Linked DNA regions of Solanum lycopersicum. The main gene of each other region encodes a partner of the protein of the gene in region 2 in a complex. Links are inferred from orthologs where the notes say so. Each region holds a gene or a part of one and is shown on either strand. Other genes may lie near its edges.

Region 1 (4,224 bases), on a different chromosome or scaffold from region 2:
TACAAACTGTTCATCGTGATACCTCTCAAAATGATTGAACATATCTGTATGATGGGATTCAAAGCGTTCAGCGAGGGTGATATTATCTGGATCAACTGCAACAAGGGTTTCAGGATTGTTTTAGAGATGGGCACAACAAGACAAAACTGGAAAACAAAGTAGCATTGACTAGGATATAGTTATATATTCTATTGTGATGGTGAAAGTAGCATAATCTATGCTGATTGTGGGATCTAGGTGTACCTTGATGCAAGTCCTTAGCAGGTTCCTCCTGTGCATTGGGTTTATCATAGAGATCAGCATTATCTAGTCTCTGCACATTGAACATCCGCAAGTTTAGCTGCACTCTCATGTAGTGATCTGATTTTCACTAAGATTTCCTGCTCTTATCCAAGTGGTATCAGATAAGATTGCCTACTCAACAAGGTCATGAACACTGAGAAAACCCAAGAGTGGAAATAACATAGAACAAGCTACAAAACATATAGAGTAACCAAAAGGCGAAGGGAAATCAAACAACTTTATCATTGTTAACTTTCTATTGTTGAGCTTGCAGACTTGCTGAATAATGAAATATGACTTATTTAACAATCTAAAGCAAGCTCAATAGTTTTAATTAGATCAGTTCGAACAAATTCCTAATTTTCCTAACAATTTTTGTTTCTGCTTTTGAAGTTATTTCGTGGATTGAGGAGGTGACAGAGCTTTCCATAATGTACCATCGTGAAATAGGAGGTTTGTTCGAAATCCATCATTGTGACTGTGTCTGGATTCCGTAATGTCTGTTCAATCTCTGGGAGTTCTTCCTCCCGATTCTCTGGCAGAGTAATAGCTGCATACCTACAGGAATTGAAATGAGGAATGAAAATTCATCAACATTAGGAAAAACAATCACAGGAATCAGAATTTAATGTTTACAACCAATTCATCGCTAAACTAGGTATTTTTAAGTACAAAGACCTTAGGTATAAAGGACTCACAGCATAAGCAGGCCTTAAATAACTCATTGATGAAACTGACCCAAACATTGAGTGAAAGAAATCATAATAAATTGAGTTAATCATTTCAACTAATTGGTGGCAGTCATACTTTAGTTGTTAATTTACTGAAGCACTATTGAGGTAACTGAAAGTATTAGAAGTTGTTAAAAGTCGGCCTTACAATCTCTGCTTCTCGGCAAAATACTGTGACGTCGAATTGGAGATGAGTTACTCACTTGGCTTGCGATTTACCCTTGGGAAGTAACGTAGGATCGGTAGCTGCTTTGACTTTCCAAGCTTCATTGATTTGCACCTGAAAGTACCCAATCATAAATGCGGAATTTAATGAAAACAGAGCAAAGAAAGAGATTAATTTGATTAGGATCGAAGACAAATGTTACTACCATGAGACGAGTCACATCCTCTGCATTAAAGAAAACATAAAGAAAAAAAAATGAAGAAATAAGGAAGGGTAAAGTAGGAGTAGAATTCAAAGAATTAACGTGAAATTCAAATTGAAATGATGAAGTCATCATGGCAATTCATACCGTATAGGAGTTTCACTTTGTGTTCGTAAACAATGACTACTCCACCTGAAACAGAACTGTCGATTAGATATCTAAATCAAAAGCAGCAATTGCGGACAGTCAGTGGTTTTCGAAGCATACCCATGAGAATTCCAGAAAGCCTCAGAGCCATCGGGACTGATGGATTTAAGATTTGTTCACTTGACAAAAGAAATTGCAGAAGACGAATACTCAAAATCAACAAGGAATTAAGGCATTTCAACGTAGTAGTAGAAGAAAACGCCTCACCAGATGTTAATAATATTGAGTTTACTAAGCTTTTTCCTATTGAGTTTTGAGTGCAGAGTGGCCGCCATCCTTCACAGCAAAGAGAAAGATCATAAACAATTTCAATTTAAGCATTCTTCGTAGCCAAATTGAAATATGAGAACTTAACATATACACAAAATCCTATGAAGTAACTTCAACGAATACAGAACATTAGACACAGAAAGCAAATGACGAAAAGAGGATCCACTACAGGGATTGCGATATATGAAAGTTAAAAAACGCAGAAACACAAAACATGCAACTTATCTATATGTATTAAACAAATTTAGAATAGAAAATCAAAACAAAAGCCGTAGTAAACTGGATCAATACCTTCATAAAACAATTTTGAATTCAAGCATTTTCTGAACAGAAACAGATCCAATTTTAACAGTGACAACTTAACATATAACTCATAACTTCAGATTACGAGAAATAGGTTGAAGAAGCTACTGAATATCATTAACCAGCGACCAAAGAAGAACGACAATCTAGCTCAGGATATACAACATATGCAAGTAAAAAATCAGAAACTCCAAAAATGTAGCGTATGCATATGAACATAACGAATTTCGAAAGGAAAAAATTGAAATGACAAGTAGTAATCGACAATTTTCACCATATTTGGCCGAGCGGAGCTTTGCGAGCAAGAAGCTGATGAGAGTAGAACATATTGCCGTCGTGAAGAAGGAAATTTCAGCACTGATTTTGCAGAGTACTTGAAGCTAGAAGGTTTTGTATATATAGTTGGAGAGAGAGAGGGAGATCATATGCAAAGTGAGAAAGGTGAAAGTGTGTGTGTTTTGTGCCTGTGCGTCTGTATATACTGTAGAGTATACCCGCCATAACAGAAGCGATTGCGATTGCATTTTGCAGAGTATATTGTGGGGACCGCACCCTATTGCAGAATGAATGTTTGATGAACTCAAGTCACAGCTCAAGTGAATGGAATTTTTGTGCTATCGTTCCTGAATGGCTTCCACGTGTCCCCTACTATTCTTGTTCAAGAGGCTTAATTTAATGGCCCAATCATCGATAGCCCTTAAAGTTGTCCGCATAATTCATTTAGACACCTCAACTGAGACTCTTATCAATTAGACATTTTAATATTAATAAATATTTACCTATCAAACATAAAATAATAATTATCTTTACAAATATTGTGCGTGTAATGCACACTCCTTATTTTGACAAAAATTACGAATAGAACTACGACACGTGGCATATGGGCCCATAATTTTAATTTTAAAAGATAAAGAATATTTTCCTTCCTTTAATAATATATAAAAAATTAAATTGATAAAAAAAAAAATCTTTCTCCCCACCCTAACCCCCACCCCATCTAACTTACTACCCTTTTTTCTTCATCTTCTTCTCTTCTTCTTCTCTGTTGTTCCACAATCACCATTTCTTTTCATAACAAAAAAAAATGCCTAACCCCATCTCATTCCGAATTCATCCACCAAATGTTGTCCTCTTTCATTTTCTTCGTTATATGCTATTTCTCAAATGGTCCATTTTTTCTTCTTCTTGAAAATTCAACAGGTACTTTATTTACATAAAATGAAAAAAAAAATGAATCATAACAAAAGACAGAGAAATTTGAAGTTTTTAAAATGGTGGGTTGATGCTTTCACCGATTTTGAACAATCTTCATTTTTCTTCAAATTATCGTCCTTGTGAAGAGAAATTCGAACTTCGAACTTCGGATACAGAAGTGACGGTGGCGGTGGGCAGCAGAAACAGAGGCTGCTAAGAGAAGTGATTTTTTCATGTTGTTTTTGGATGGAAAAATAAGGGATTTTGGGGGAATTGAATGGATGGTAGTTTAAATGGTGGGTTGAAGGAAGATGAGTGTGGGGTTTTTTTTTTTTAATGATTTAAAAGATTTATGTTTAATTAAATTATTTTTTTATATATATTTAGTCAATGCATGCCAAGCGTCAACAAAGTAGGTATTAATATTTTTAAAAAAAATTAAAAAAAAGTATTCACGCGCTCAGCAGCAGTGAAATACACTTATTTTGTCACATCAGCGTTTTGTGTTTAATAGGCACATTTCTTGATAATTTAGGTGTTCAATAGGTATAAGTCCTAGTTCAGGTGTCTAAGTGAATTATGTGGACAACTTTAAGGGGCTGCAGATGACTTAGGCCTAATTTAATTGTTACAAATAAAAAGTTAGAAGTGATTACACTGAACCAGAAAAGAACCCATTAAACATGACTATGAAAATGTTAGTAAAGTCTAAAGCACGAAAAAGCCATCCTTCATAAAAATAAAGGAAAATAATAATATTATTATTATTATTTATTTATTATATTATTATATTATTTTCAGTATAATTCTTTTTATAAATTAAATTGTTATAAAATATTTAAATATTTGATTGTATAAGCTTAATTAAA
Region 2 (4,143 bases):
TATAAAGTGTTTGATAGGTAAATTTTTTTATTAGTACGGGATTCAATTGGAACAAGCCTAAGAAGAGGTGTTTAAGTGAAATTTGCAGACAACTTTAAGTGGTTATCGATGACTTAAGCCATTTAAATATGACCATCATTATTATCTAAAATGATTTTCTTCCAAATATTGTAGCTAGCTAGGTATGATATGAAACCGGAAAAACTGAGTTCTTATAAAGTAAACAGAATAAATTTAACGACAGAGACATAAATGCACCTTTTCAATGATCAATTTATATAATTAACATAATTAAGTGAAATGACAAAGAAAGGAAGAAGAAAATTTTCATCTCACTTACCCAAAGTATGTAAATCAGTGAAAACGCGTTGAATTCCTTCAATAATTGCCTATAAATCAAATATCAAAAGAGAATTTATCAAAACATGAACATGTATTAGCTACTTACTATGTTTATTAGAAGGTTAACATTGTGAAAAGATGAATTTTAACCTCCGCAAAGATAATGAAAGTGATTATTGATCAACTAATGTATTTAGAGTGAAATGAAAGATTTATTTGATAGTTGTGCATTTCTCTCATAAAGTCATAATCAATACCGTACAACTCTTCATTCGCCCTCTTTAATAATAGAAGTGAACAATTATAGGTAATGGGAGAGTAATTTAGATTAGGAAGAAAATCAAAAGCCAAAAAACTTATGAAACAATATGATATAGTTATTATTTAATATTTAATTTATTAATAGTTTATAACATTTTAATTAAATATAGGAGTAAAACGGTAATTTGATTTTTTCCTAATATTTTTTTAATTTATAATAAAGATAAAATCGTAACCTTAACTTTTAATTTTTTTTATTCCCAGTTATAATAATATATGATATGATAGATAAAATTACATTAACCAAATGATAACATTAAAATAATAATTGGTTAATGATTCTGGAAAAGCATTAGGAATTGACAATGGCCGTGGGTGATAGGGGTGTGTCGAAATGACACGTATTGCACTCAAAGTACATACACAAGTTACCGTTTGTGAGGAACCCCATAAAATCGATAAGAACAAACGTGTCTTTTAAAAAAAAAAACTTTTTTTACTGTAAATATATGAGACTACGGAAAAAAAAAAAGAATAACTTTTAATTGAATGCAAGAACAAACCATATTTGATTTGTCTCCAAATTTTAATTGCTTGTTCCTAAGCTAATAATATAAATAAATACGCTATTTCTAGAAAGTAGAAATCCTATTTTTTTTTTAATTACATTATTAAAAAAATGCTTCTACATCTACAGTCAGAAGCATGAAATATTAATTACTAGTTCCCAAGTATGCCTAATCAGTTACATGAGCTCTCAATAGAAAGTTATATTTATTTGGTCATTAGTGTTATTTTATGGTGAGATAGGGGTTTATTTGGTCGTACATTCCAAAAACGGAGAAACACATTTCGAAAATTAAAAAATTGTGAGACTTGTTTGACAATCCACTCCCTCTTCTCAAAGGGCTAGCAGTTGAATGCAGAGCCTACACTTTGGTTCATCTCATACATAGAAAAAATTTGTAAGTAGAGTGAGGCATTTTTGTCTCTCTCTTGTACAAAAACAAAGATAGGTAAAGAGAGAAAGAAGATGTTTTATTCACAGTTACTTCTTTCAAAGAAGGGGCCTTTAGGCACCATTTGGATTGCTGCTCATTGTCATAAACGTCTCAAGAAAGACCAAGTCCAGCAGACAAACATCGTTTCTTCTGTCGGTGCGTTTTCCGTTTTCCTGTTTTTTTGTTTACCCCTTTCTTCATCTTTGATGGAGACTTATTACAAGAACAAAAAGTAGTCTTTTTAATTAAGATGGTGTTTTTTTATCTTTCTTCTTCTCCTGTAAACGCTTTTCTCCTAACCTCTTTTCTATTTGTATTTATTTTCTTCATACATTAAGACAGAGTGAGAGGTTGTTTCTTTACCCTTTAGAGAACCCTGATTTCTAATTTAACCACAGTGTTATTTATTGGAATTTAGTGTTCTGTTGACTTACTAGTAAAAAGAGACGTGCTGCTGACATGAGTTTGGCGGATTTCTTTACATAGCTCTCGCATGCACAGTTCATATAGTTTATTTTTGTCCCAAATTGCAGCTACTAGTTACCTTTTGTCTCCATTGTGTTAGATGTCATCCCTACATCAACTATAGCCTTCTATTTTTCACATATAGTTGGATGGCTGAACAGTTGTGCTCAAATTGAGTGCTAAAACCATACATTTTTAAACTAGATTTTTCGTAAACCACTGCTTGTCAATCACATCGGAAAGTCGTTGGGTCATTAGAGACCTCTCTCGGCAAATAATTTTACCACAATGCCCCAATTAAGTACTACCACTTATAGGAATCTTCTTTCCTAGTAGAATGCCCCCCATGAGAAGAAAGAATATTGTGGTGCTCAGCTTCTCGTTGAACCTCGTGGGTAAACTAATGAATGGAAGAATGTGATTTGATCACAGAATAGAATCGGGGTTTTGGTCATGAAGGTGAAATAGGTTCATGTGTGACTGACATTTTTTTTTTTTTGGAAATTTCACTTAGTTTGCAACTTCTAGTGTTAGCTGTAACAAATGCTATAGTTGTAACATGGAATTCACAAGACTCAGTGTAAAATATTAATTACTTGGAAATTAGCATGTCTTCCGAGCCACGGAAAATGGTTTCTGGCTTTATGTTGGATTGTGAACCTTTGCTGCAAACTTGGGTGATTATAGGTGGTGTTAAATGCTGTCTCTGTGAATTCCCTGGATGATCTAGGTAACTGTTTTTGGCGGGGTTATCGGAAACCTCTCTGCCTCCGTAAGGTAGGGGTAAGGATGCATATGCACCATCCTTTGCAGACGCCACTTGTGGAATTACATCGGGCATGTTGTTGTTGTTTGCAATCTTGATTACGTTCACATGTTTATGAATTGCTGTGTATATACGTAATGAATGTGATTATTGTCTTGGGATCTTTTTTATTTCAGATTCTTGACACTGTTTGATTCTGTTTTTTTAATTGCAGCACGATGCACATAAAAGTAGCATTAAGAATTTTAATCATTTCTTGAGTGATTTAGATTTGCTTTACTGGTTTTTCCTTTGCTCAGAGAAAATTCTGCATGATGAAGCTCCTGTGGTCACATACAGAATTTTAGGTCACCTGCTCCTGGGTGTGGTTAGAATATATTCGAAAAAAGTGGAGTATCTTTTCAAAGACTGTAATAATGTTCTTGTTAACCTTGCTGATTTTTCAACTCGCAATAGACCAACTAGTAAACCATCAGTTGTAAGGATCGCGGGTATGCATGCTCCTGTCCACTCTATCACCCGACCAAAGAAATTTGAACTGGATACTTTTGATCTGGAAGTCTTGGAAGATCAAGACGCAAACAGGTAAAATAAATACTTTCCATGAATGACGTGGTTTTCCATGTTAATTTGTATGTTTTCCTTTCTCTTTCTCCTTGTGTTTTTTCTGATTGTCGGTTTGGGGTTTAATTATTTCAATCTTGGTTTGCAACAAACTGTTTTGAAGTAGTCATTTCGCATCCCGTGAAGAAATCACGCTTTCCGGTACAGTACATTTCTGTTGTCTTTTAATTCATGGTTACTTTTTTCGGCTTTATGTCACTTACTTTTTTTAAAAGAGAGTTTCTGCTTTTTGTTTCAGATGCTCAGGAAAATTTAGTTTTTGGCTCATCTTGCAAGGTAGTCATTTTATGAAGTATAATCATTTCTTTGGTTTGTTTTGTTAACAGCATGTCTCGGCCTTTGAAACTTTTCCAACAAAAGAAGGCAGCATAAATCACTTTCTGCTTTGTGTTCACTTAATACCACTATCACTGCTTAGCAAGATATACTACTGTTTTCCCTGAATATCTCATAGTTTATGTTAAACTCTTTGCTATATGTTGTTAGAACCTTAGGATTGGTGTAGCACATCGAATCAGTTGATTGATTTTAAATTATTATCTGCAAAGTGGTTAGTGGAATTTGTACTTGTCAAGATACATCATGGATTCACGAATTCACGTAACTGCTTTTCTTTGAACAAGTACTGGACAGTGTTAGTGGTGCTGTGTTTAATTTGAAGAAGTTATTTGATGGATCAAACTG
Region 3 (4,151 bases), on a different chromosome or scaffold from region 2:
ACATGTATCATATATAATATATCATGATGATATATTTTTACTCAAATCATATCCGAATACAAAGTAATGATCACATCATAATAACAGATACAAAATTATGATACATGCAGGTCATTTACCACTAATACATCAACAAATACGTAAATCATATATGACATCTTACAAATCACATTGATTATATCTCATATAAATTGTTACATAGATGATAGAACACACAATTATGTATTATAACTTTAATATTCCCACGTTCCTTTTTTTTCCTTCGTAGGAAGTAAAAAAATCCACTAATATTCACCTTTATTTGGGGAACTTTCGCAAAAAACTACTATAATAAACTTAATTATGTTGTCTGGTTTGCAGTCTATTACACAATGAGGGTTTACATAGTGCGCACAAAGTGCTCACACGAAGGCTAGAGCCTATGACAAAGGTTGCAACAATTGCGGGTTATCTTGGGGTTAAAAAAAAATAATTATGCTTCATAGCTATAATTTACATATTTACGAGTTGTAGCTATAAGATTGTATAATTTGGAGGTATGTTTTTTAAATCGAGCTATTTTTGTATAAATTCAAAATAACAAATTTATACAAATACAAACATTTGAACTTTAAACAAATATACAAATTATATTATATAAAAGTTATAAAAAAATTGATTTCATACAAACTCGAAACCCCACCCCATGTAACTATTACTGAATATTGGACACAAGTGATAATTAACTAGAACTAAAGTCATAATAACTAATTAACCAATATATATTTGTTTGATCACACAATTCTTTCTAATCTAAACAGTGTCATTTAATTAAGAGAAAATACATAAATTTACCCTCACATTTATATATTTTACTACCAAATTTATATATTTTATGGTGGCAACAATAGTGATTTCATGGTGGTGTTCATCAAAGAAGAAACAATTGTTATATGGAGGATTTTAGTTAAATTTTGCCATGACATTTGATATGGCAGCGATATAACACTGATGTGATCCAAGTGTGATACATTTTTGAGAGTAGTACTATACGTCTCATAGATAAAAAAGTTCATTATTTAGTAGCAGAGGTATATAATAATTTAAAAGTGTAACTTACTTTTCGAAACAAATTCAAATGTGAATTTATATCATTTTACCCTTTTAATTAACGCGATTAAACAGAAGTGGCATCTGCGTAAATAACCAAAACCAGTCGGCCCTTTTAAGGAAACACAAAGCGTCAAGTTATTTTATTGCCGCATTGGCGCCACTTTCTCCCGCGGTTTCTGTCTCAGAACCTCAAAAATTTCGAACATAAAACCCCAATTAACTATACACACAGAACTGAGGAGCCGAAGAGAATTAGGTCATTGGAGAATCCTCTGAACTGAAAAGGGTCGCCGCCGTTCGCCGCCAATCACCATTAATCGCCGCCAATCGCCATCAATCGCCGTTCTTGGTTGTTAATTTGTTGACGGAGAAATGTTTTATTCGCACACATTCTTGGCTCGGAAGGGTCCATTAGGGACTGTATGGTGCGCTGCACACTTGCAACACAAGTTGAAGAAGCCTCATTATACTTCTACTAACATTCCATCTACTGTTGGTAGGTTTTCTAATGTCTTTTTTTTTTCTTGAAAAAAAGGGTCCCTTTTTATTTGCCCCATTGCCAAGATTTATATTTTATTTCAATGGATTGCTTTTTTTTTTGTTTTGTTTCTTTCTTGGGATTTGAAAAAAGAAAAAAAATGATTTTGCTAATTTCGCTTGGTTGACATACGATTCTTGTTTTGCTGTTAGTTGGGGGTTTCGTGAGATAAAGATTTGCTCTTGTGAATCTTTTTAATTCAGCTTGGAAGTTTTTATATAAGTATTTGTACTTCAAGATTTTCTCTCTGTTATAGTAATGCTAGTTAAAGGGTTAGATTGAAATGTTTTTTTTTTTAATTCGAGTCATTGTTGCTGAGTGTTGATTGAATGTAATTTTATGTATCTAATGTTATTTTTGTTGCTTGATAATTAGTTTATTATTCAGTTCTTGTTTTGCTGATATCAATTAGGATCTTTCTGTGAGATGAAGATTTATTTTTTTACATTAAAGATTGCATTTTTGATTGAAGTATTGAAATTTGGTTTGATACGGAGGTTTTTATCATTTGCAAAGATGAATTGATTTCTAATTTAGTGGAGACATTTTCTTCTGTTCTAATCATGATAGTTGAACTCTTGGACTAGTCTGTGCTTATGTACAATGTATTGTCACCTGTGTTAGTTATTCATTGATCATTTTAAGGAGGTCAAAAAATGAGGAACTTTCATTCTTGAAATTTAAGCGGTAAAATTGTCTGAAGATATGCATGTCCCATACATATGATAATGATTGAATAGGGGGAAGGAGGACATGATGGGCTGTTTTTTAGCTGTGAAAAAAATTAATATATTGAAGGAGACTGGACTACTTTAACTCTAAGCATAAAAAATTGGAACTTGAACTTAGACACTACATCAACTCTTAAGTTCTTAGGTAAGAAGGAGAGAACAAATTTGTTCATCACACAAATAAAATAAGGTCCATTGGAATCTTTTGTATGATAAAAGTGAACTCTGAATCTTTCTCTTGAAAGAGATTAAAGATTTGAAGTTTAGATGATTCTACCCATGACTTTATTTGGGGAAAGGATCCAATTTGCTTCTAAATTATTTGAAATGTAACTGTGTTCTTTGTTTCGTGTTGGGCACAAAAATGCCTTTATCAATAACCGAATAGCTCAAAAATTGGCCCGTTTCCATTTCTCGATAAGTGATAGAATATAATAAAGATAAGATGGCATTTATAGGGAAGCTTTCAGGGTGTAACGGGAAGGGGTTGGACAAGTCAAGTACATAAGTATGTTCTTAGAATTTGAACATAATGCAAATAACAATACCAATCATTAAAACAATTTTTTGCTTGATATTGACTGAGCTATAGAGAAAGAAAGACGTAATTGTCCCATTTCATATAGTTTAGGGCTCAATTAGCCCTTTTTCCATTTGAGCTAAAGCAATAGTTAGTGGGAGGTTATTTTTGAGCTACTTGGCTAACTATGAGGACATTTTTTAGCTACTTGATTGACGATAAGGGTATTTTTGTGCCAAAACTAACGGAGGGCAAAGAGGATCCCCTTTTGAATCATTTAGGGGCAAGATGGGATTTTTCTTTACCTTTTTATTATGTCATATTATTTAGGAATGTTGCAGATTTATCTTATGCTGGACACTAAATCTTGAACATATTTAACCTTAAACTTTCAGTGGTACAAATGATGTGTTTTTTCTGGTATATGCCAAATGTACTTTGTTTTAATTAGTTAGTCTTTGATGCTTTCTTGGGTACTCCGTGGAACAATCAAGGTGCGTATAAGCCAGAAAGGATGTATAAGTTGCTCTACACAAGTACATAGCAGTAGCTTTGATATGCATATGATGTTTTTTTTTTTGCTGATGATACTGTTCCTTTTTTTTTTTTTTGAAATCTATTTGTAGAGCGCATCATGACTCCTGAAGTACCTATTGCACTGCGAACATCTGGCCATCTTCTACTTGGAGTTGTTCGGATATACTCGAAGCAGGTTGAATACTTTTCCGAGGACTGCAAAACACTACTAATGGGAGTTATAAAGGCCTTCTCGTCTACAAATGTCAATCTCCCAGAAGATGCCACTCATGCACCATACAGCTCCATCACTTTACCAGAAACATTTGAACTTGATGCCGTCGTTTTTGATGAAGATCTTGACCTGAATAGGTAAGTATCTGTAGTACTTTTTTAGTTGTCATCTTGAATCTGTAGTTAGTTATACGTGCATTTGGAATTCCAGGATTAAGGATACTCATGTTAAAAGTTACGAAGAGATAACTTTGGAAGGTATGTATCATGTTTACTTTAACTCTTCTTTTTTGTATCTTTTTCTGTTTCATTTTCAATTGAACTTTCATTTCTGAAATTTTCCATGTATAGATCAAGTTGTATCGCATGAAGATCAGTATGTTGCTATTTTCATTGATGAGGTGGGTAAATCTTTTGCTTCATAATTAGCAGCGAAGTTTCGATTTATTCACTTAAGTTGCAACACTAGTTTGACAAAGAGTTTGTTTTTACAGGACATAGTGAAGAGTTTGTCAAAATC

Evidence for each region.
Region 1: sister chromatid cohesion 1 protein 2 (region 2) and sister chromatid cohesion 1 protein 1 share a complex: the UniProt entries of both Arabidopsis thaliana proteins name them as parts of the cohesin complex. The link is inferred for Solanum lycopersicum from reciprocal best matches to the Arabidopsis thaliana genes SYN2 and SYN1.
Region 3: sister chromatid cohesion 1 protein 2 (region 2) and sister chromatid cohesion 1 protein 3 share a complex: the UniProt entries of both Arabidopsis thaliana proteins name them as parts of the cohesin complex. The link is inferred for Solanum lycopersicum from reciprocal best matches to the Arabidopsis thaliana genes SYN2 and SYN3.

What each region holds. Positions count from the first base shown.
Region 1 is NC_090805.1:48,875,428-48,879,651, reverse strand, and holds the start of sister chromatid cohesion 1 protein 1, read right to left. Parts: upstream 2,921-4,224; 5' UTR 2,489-2,920; coding exon 2,436-2,488; intron 1,865-2,435; coding exon 1,796-1,864; intron 1,708-1,795; coding exon 1,649-1,707; intron 1,574-1,648; coding exon 1,529-1,573; intron 1,405-1,528; coding exon 1,385-1,404; intron 1,294-1,384; coding exon 1,217-1,293; intron 841-1,216; coding exon 720-840; intron 314-719; coding exon 244-313; intron 96-243; coding exon 23-95; intron 1-22. UniProt on the Arabidopsis thaliana protein: Involved in chromosome condensation, pairing and segregation during meiosis. Responsible for cohesion between replicated sister chromatids.
Region 2 is NC_090801.1:70,969,807-70,973,949, reverse strand, and holds the start of sister chromatid cohesion 1 protein 2, read left to right. Parts: upstream 1-1,260; 5' UTR 1,261-1,636; coding exon 1,637-1,760; intron 1,761-2,243; exon of another isoform or gene 2,244-2,528; intron 2,529-3,134; coding exon 3,135-3,420; intron 3,421-3,562; coding exon 3,563-3,600; intron 3,601-3,697; coding exon 3,698-3,735; intron 3,736-4,143. UniProt on the Arabidopsis thaliana protein: May be involved in sister chromatid cohesion during mitosis.
Region 3 is NC_090800.1:77,428,476-77,432,626, reverse strand, and holds the start of sister chromatid cohesion 1 protein 3, read left to right. Parts: upstream 1-1,237; 5' UTR 1,238-1,464; coding exon 1,465-1,588; intron 1,589-3,507; coding exon 3,508-3,769; intron 3,770-3,842; coding exon 3,843-3,889; intron 3,890-3,982; coding exon 3,983-4,032; intron 4,033-4,125; coding exon 4,126-4,151. UniProt on the Arabidopsis thaliana protein: May be involved in sister chromatid cohesion during mitosis.